Saccharomyces cerevisiae S288C: one gene and its partner. Changing the gene in region 2 together with the main gene of any one other region gives a genetic interaction. Each region holds a gene or a part of one and is shown on either strand. Other genes may lie near its edges.

Region 1 (3,756 bases), on a different chromosome or scaffold from region 2:
TTACATTATCAATCCTTGCACTTCAGCTTCCTCTAACTTCGATGACAGCTTCTCATAACCTATGTCACCATCTAACACCGTATATGATAATATACTGGTAGTATGACTACTAGTTGATAGACGATAGTTGAATTTTTATTCCAAAACTAATATAATAGCCTTTACCAACAATGGAAGCCCAACAATTATCAAATTATTCACTAAATTCTACTATGAATATTAAAAAAAGCTTTTGAAGTACATCTTTATTAAAAAATTCTGATCATTACGTATACATAAAAAAAAAAGGAAAGTTCTTCTCAAAAATAATATACTGCTGACAAGAGCACCAGATCGGTAGACTATAATTGATTCTCACTCCAACACACATAATTATATTAGTAAATAATGCCATTGTTTGCAGTGGTTAGCCGTGATTAGTAGATAGTGGTTTCCTTATTCTAACATGTGTATATTTTTATGCAAAATTCATAGTAGAGTAGACCTTAAAAATATTATTCATATAGACTATTGACCTCTACGTTCGAACGGCGTTTGATTCAATTCAAAAATAATTACCGCAATTGTGGGTTGCATTATTTGAGTCTGCAAATGTAAGATGTCCATCTTGGAAACTCCATACAGTGCCTTCAATATCTGACGATTTTCCCCTGGGGAAAAGCTCCTTCAATTTAGAAACGTCGGTTTCAACCGTTTTGAAGGAATAATTCTCATTGGTTGTCTGGTATCTGTACCTTAACAGTATCGTTAGTGGGATAACAAAATCGTCTAATGAAGATTTCAATAACGGCATCATGTACGCTTTGGATGAAAATGGCACCTTCTTCTCAAATATCCGTTGGTTTTTTAAAGTAGACCCATGTATTTTCCTTTTAAACGACATCTTTATAAGATCCCTCTTCTTTGTAATATCGGTTGAGGATAAAATGTCCAACTCTTTTAGTTGCGAATTGGGTACTATATTTAACAGTTTTTTGATCGATTCTTGGAGCATCCCAATGGCAATTCCGCACTCATCATTGTTGTATTGGTTGATTGATAGGAAGAGATAGGTCAAACTCTGTAAATAATTCATAAATAATGCGTCCACTATACGGCCTCCTTGGCATTGCGAAGCAGTGCTATAAGATCCAATACAAAGCTTAGCGTAAAAGACACTGGACTTGCCTAGCTCTTCCAATTCTTGAGGCTCAAGGTCCGCAACAGCATCCTTGCTGATTTTTGATCTTAGTTTAGACAGTGCTAAAACGACAATCCCTAGTTGTTGCAGCAATTGAAACTCTAATGATAGCTGATTAAGGACGTTGAGAACCTGCATCTTTTGGCAATCATTAGCTGTGTTTATTTGAAAATTCTTTCCAAGAAAGCAGATTAAGCCTAGACCTCTCTTTAGATAGGTCCCGCTTGTTGTCCATAAGTTATTTGACGCTTGTGAAGATTCATAAGCTCTGTACAATGTTTCAATACCGATGTCTTGATAAAATACGGCAACATTGATTAACGCAATCGCTATCTCCTCTTCAATGAGAGCGGCGTCATTATTAGCTTCGTACCTGTGGGTTAACAAACCCTCTGTGTATTTTAGCCACGTATCTATACATGTAATGCTGTCAGCTTTGGACGAGGAACTGTTCAGTGAATTTATGCAATTATTTCGCAGTATGATTAAATCATTAGGTATGGAAGTTGTTATTTTGCTGCTGCCAGATAATTTATAGGGAAGTTTCTTTGTAGACATTGCATTCTCACGCATGATTTATTTTGTTAGAGCTACTTTTCACTTTAAAGTTCAACCTTTGAATAACCAGTTCTCGATTATACGTTTTTTCTTACAGCCGGTTTACGTCAGCGCAGGAAAATTGAAAACTATACTATTCAATACATAGAACGTAACACAATGGCGTCCCCTCAAAAGTGTACACTTCTTCAAGATGTTACTGCGGCTACATGCAACACCCCTAGAGCTATTTGTAAGGGAAGACAAGATCTCAAGTGTTACCACAGCCCGTAATTGAGTTCGGCACTATTCGAGCGCACAAAAAATCCCGTACTGTTTTTTTTCAGATAAGAAAGACTGAGCCTATATAAACACTACCTGAACCATTTTTAAGATAAAAGTTATATACGATAGAGTTATCCCCTCTTAATAATTGATCAAGAACCTCTGAAGCACAAAAGGGAGCATAAGAGCACTTAGGGACAAACGTATTTCTTTCCCCCACTCCCCTTTTTCCCTTTGCGATGCACATCCATAACTTGTACTTGTGTCTTGACATTCTTCAAAATCAACATGGCGATGCTCTTCTACGGTTGTCCTTTGCCACGAACTTTGTTTTGCGCCTCCCCTCCCTTTGTCAGGCTGAGTGCAAAAGAAAAGGCCCTGGTTGCTTATCTCTGCGGACACGCGCCCCTCTTATTGGATGAGACATCTCAGAGATTGCGATAACGATAAGATTCACAATTGCTACAGACACCCTTGTGTGACATCTTATGGCTATGTAAGCACAGAAGAGAAGAAGAAAGAAATGACAAAGTATTGATGGAAGATGTTTTTCCTGAAAAAAAAAAAAAAAAAAAATCGGAAAAGTGGTGTAGGCTTCTATAGCACCTTCTGCTTACCAGTCGATAATGCAGTTCCAGAATAAGATACTTAAAAGGTAGTTTATTTATATAGGCGCTCTTGTAACTTGTTTAGGCTTATGATCAGAGAATTATTTTAGTAAACATAACTGCAGTACGGATTCTTATACTGTAGAAACTATGGAGAGTCGAACTACAGGGCCTTTAACGACTGAAACCTACGATGGCCCCACTGTGGCCTTCATGATATTAGGTGCCGCCCTAGTATTTTTTATGGTGCCCGGATTGGGATTCTTGTACTCCGGATTGGCAAGAAGGAAGTCTGCACTAGCACTAATCTGGGTTGTATTAATGGCGACTTTGGTCGGTATACTGCAATGGTATTTCTGGGGTTACTCTCTAGCTTTTTCAAAGTCCGCTCCGAATAATAAATTCATTGGGAATCTAGATTCGTTTGGCTTTAGAAACGTGTACGGAAAAAAATTCGATGAAGATGCCTACCCTGAGCTCGCGTATGCAACCTTCCAAATGATGTTTTCGTGCGTCAACTTAAGTATTATCGCTGGCGCCACTGCCGAAAGAGGCAGGCTGCTACCGCACATGGTTTTTCTCTTTATTCTAGCTACCATTGGATATTGTCCAGTGACGTATTGGATTTGGTCACCAGGTGGTTGGGCATACCAATGGGGAGTCCTCGATTGGGCAGGCGGCGGCAACATTGAAATATTAAGCGCTGTTTCCGGGTTTGTTTACTCTTGGTTTTTGGGCAAAAGAAATGAAAAGTTACTGATAAATTTCAGGCCTCATAATGTTTCATTGGTCACTCTAGGCACATCCATACTGTGGTTTGGCTGGCTGCTATTTAATTCTGCATCCTCATTATCCCCAAATTTGAGGTCAGTTTATGCATTCATGAATACATGTCTCAGTGCCATTACTGGTGGGATGACGTGGTGTCTTCTGGATTACAGATCGGAGAAGAAATGGTCGACAGTTGGTCTGTGCTCCGGTATCATTTCTGGGCTGGTGGCTGCAACGCCAAGCTCAGGCTGTATAACCCTTTACGGTTCACTTATTCAAGGCATTGTGGCGGGGGTAGTGTGTAACTTTGCGACGAAGTTGAAATACTACGCTAAAGTAGATGATGCCATGGACATTCTAGCTGAGCACGGGGTT
Region 2 (3,385 bases):
CGCGCCGAGTACGTGTCGAAGCTCCGCGAGTTCTACTCTAGCAACAAGTTCGTTGCCGGAGAAGCCGTTGCGGACAACCGCTTCAAATTGAAGAAGGCTCTGTTGCTGCAAATACTGGTAAACTACTTAGGCGGTCGAATGCTCGAACACGATCTGGGCGAGATCTATGCGATTTCAGCAAAGTGTTTCGATATGTGCCGCCAGCAGGGCGGCATGCGCAAGGTCCAATACGTGATCGGAATATGGCATTTAATGAATTGTACGGTGGCGATGCGGGGAAAAGACGTCGCTCTCACGAACGCGAAGCTGGAGGCGCTGGTTAAGCAAATCACCAGTGTCAAACAATAAACCAAAAAAAAAAAAAGAAACACTTGATTTCCTTTATCTATTTTTATACTTAATTATTTTTTTTAGATGCACTATACAAATTCGCGTTAATTTTTGCCTTTTTACAACGCCTCCGTAGGGGTCTTTTTGCCGCCTGGCACAAGGATGGCAATATTGTTGCCGCTTAAAAGCATTCTGCCATGGTGCTGCATAACTTTCTCATTTCTGCTCTCGTCCTCAGGATCGATAAGCCACTCGACAGCGTCTTCCAGTATAACGTTGACGAAGTCGTCGAAACCAACTAACGTGCCCTCGAACTCGCGGTTCGACTGCAGCACAATCAACACTTTCTGGTTAATTGTTTTATCTATGACTTCCAAAGGCAAAATCTCCGGTAGACTCATTTTGCGCGCTTCTGTGTATGCTTGTGAGTGCACGTGTATACGCTATGCTTGTTGTGAGACCATCTATCCGCCAAGGAAGCCTTTTTCGCTTTCTCTGTATTTTTTCTACTTCAATAAGAAAGCAAGTATTCTGTTTTGCTACCCGGATGCAAAGACAAAACCCGAGCATCCGGGTAATAAAAGAGCAGGGTCCGGCTGAAGGTGCCAAAAAAGACCAAAAAGGGCTATATTATCTCTCTCTTACGATTGCCTCTGGTTAAAAAATGAAATAGATAATAAAAGGGCAGCAAAGAAAAAAAAGAAGAATACAATATACGTATACGTTCTCAACAATTTTTCGTCCTGTTTTTTTCTTGACCACGGTCACTACTAACTCCTGAGACATCAGACCAACGTGTAGAAAAAAAGAAATCGGGTCCGGCACTGACACACGCTCTGCGCCAATCAACCAGGGCGCATCGAGCATTCTTTCCAGGCCAGGGTGCAGAAATACTATTATTAAGTGCGCGAATACTGCTGGTGCATTAAACGAGCGAGTACAGTGAGCCCGCCGCTGACTGCCGACTCACGCCAGGCCGCTATTTCCTTCCCCCGCCCGCGTAAGCCGTGCCGAGCACCGTCGCAGCAGTAAGAAGGTGCGCATTTCATTCTCTGCACAGCGTAGATGAATGCACCCGATTTCTAAGTTGGTGTTGCAAGGCCCGGTGGAAGCGATGGGCTGTAGTTCGACCTTGAGCTTTTAGTTATATAAAATGCTCAATGTGAGCAAAAAAATACATAACACGACGGATTGTACGTTGTCGAAATCTTCTCTCAGCAGGTCATCACACATATACTTCCCGCCATGCCTAACAAAGTGTTTAACGTGGCCGTTTTCTTCGTTGTGTTCAGAGAGTGCTTGGAAGCAGTGATTGTTATTTCCGTGCTGCTATCGTTTTTGAAACAGGCAATCGGGGAACATGACCGGGCGCTGTACCGTAAATTAAGGATTCAGGTTTGGGTCGGTGTGTTACTCGGGTTCATCATTTGTCTGGCCATCGGTGCAGGTTTCATCGGTGCGTACTATTCGCTGCAGAAGGATATTTTCGGAAGCGCGGAAGACTTGTGGGAAGGTATCTTTTGTATGATTGCGACGATAATGATCTCGATGATGGGTATTCCTATGTTGAGAATGAATAAGATGCAGAGTAAGTGGAGAGTGAAGATTGCGCGGTCGTTGGTGGAGATTCCTCACCGTAAGAGAGACTATTTCAAGATTGGGTTCTTGAGTAGAAGATATGCTATGTTCCTTTTGCCGTTTATTACTGTCTTGAGAGAAGGTTTGGAAGCTGTTGTGTTCGTTGCCGGTGCAGGTATTACCACACAGGGCTCGCACGCCTCTGCTTACCCATTGCCCGTTGTGGTTGGTTTGATATGTGGTGGTCTTGTTGGGTATTTGTTGTACTATGGTGCTTCGAAATCCTCGCTGCAGATTTTCTTGATTTTGTCTACTTCGATCTTGTACCTGATCTCCGCCGGTCTTTTCTCTCGTGGTGCGTGGTACTTTGAAAATTACAGATTCAACCTTGCCAGTGGTGGTGATGCTTCCGAAGGCGGTGATGGTAATGGGTCTTATAACATCAGAAAGGCCGTTTACCATGTCAATTGTTGCAACCCAGAACTGGACAATGGGTGGGATATCTTCAATGCTTTGCTTGGATGGCAGAACACCGGCTACTTGTCATCCATGCTTTGTTACAACATCTATTGGTTGGTTCTTATCATTGTGTTGAGTTTAATGATATTCGAAGAAAGGCGTGGTCACTTGCCTTTCACCAAAAACTTACAATTGAAACACTTGAACCCAGGATACTGGATCAAGAACAAGAAAAAGCAGGAGTTGACGGAAGAGCAAAAGAGACAACTGTTTGCCAAGATGGAGAACATCAACTTCAATGAAGATGGTGAGATCAATGTGCAAGAGAACTACGAACTTCCCGAGCAAACTACCAGTCATTCCTCGTCTCAAAACGTCGCCACAGACAAGGAAGTCCTCCACGTTAAAGCCGACTCTCTTTGAATGAAGTCTAGCACAGGGTGGGAGTTTTCCACCTATTTTCTGTTGATAAAAATACTACATTTATATACATATATACAATAATTTCTAATATCGTTTTTATAAAGTTGGCCTTGTCTGTACGGCGTCGCAAAACAAGAACCCCTGGTCCAATTGATCTACCGGGCATTGATTTTTTTTCTTTTTTCCTTGCGCCTCACTTCAACACATCAAGTAAACACCAGCTATATTTAGTTGCTAGGTATTCTCCAACGTATGTGGAGTCCTTTCTTTATTATCTCTCTACACAAATAGGCACAAGCGTAATGGGCTCAGAACAAGCCTTAAGTGAGGTTGTCGAATCTGCTAAAGAGCGGTTCGGCAGGCTTAGGCATTTAGTTCAGAAGTTTCTTGATGATGACGACGTGCCACAAGAGTGTCTGCCTTTGCTCCAAGAATGCGCAGAAATATGGTCTAGTTATGTGGACGCATGCCAGGATATAACCATGCAGGCCCCTAAAGAAGATGCAAACCGGTTGTCAAAGGGGTTTCTCCGATTGAATGAAACAGCTTTTTTATATTACATGATCGTATATACGCTCTTGGAGGATACTCTACC

What was found.
Region 1: mutations in FTR1 (region 2) and YGR122W together harm fitness more than expected from each alone (negative genetic interaction), as found in Saccharomyces cerevisiae (2 studies listed by BioGRID).

Annotation. Positions count from the first base shown.
Region 1 is NC_001139.9:731,932-735,687, reverse strand, and holds YGR122W (uncharacterized protein), read right to left. Parts: upstream 1,754-3,756; coding exon 545-1,753; downstream 1-544. Other genes in the region: YGR121W-A (uncharacterized protein), read right to left, coding at 2,061-2,276; ammonium permease MEP1, read left to right, coding at 2,761-3,756.
Region 2 is NC_001137.3:459,931-463,315, reverse strand, and holds FTR1 (high-affinity iron permease FTR1), read left to right. Parts: upstream 1-1,575; coding exon 1,576-2,790; downstream 2,791-3,385. Other genes in the region: cohesin-loading factor complex subunit SCC4, read left to right, coding at 1-348; RNA-binding protein LSM5, read right to left, coding at 450-731; YER145C-A (uncharacterized protein), read left to right, coding at 493-930; putative ubiquitin-specific protease UBP5, read left to right, coding at 3,093-3,385. UniProt on the Saccharomyces cerevisiae protein: Permease for high affinity iron uptake.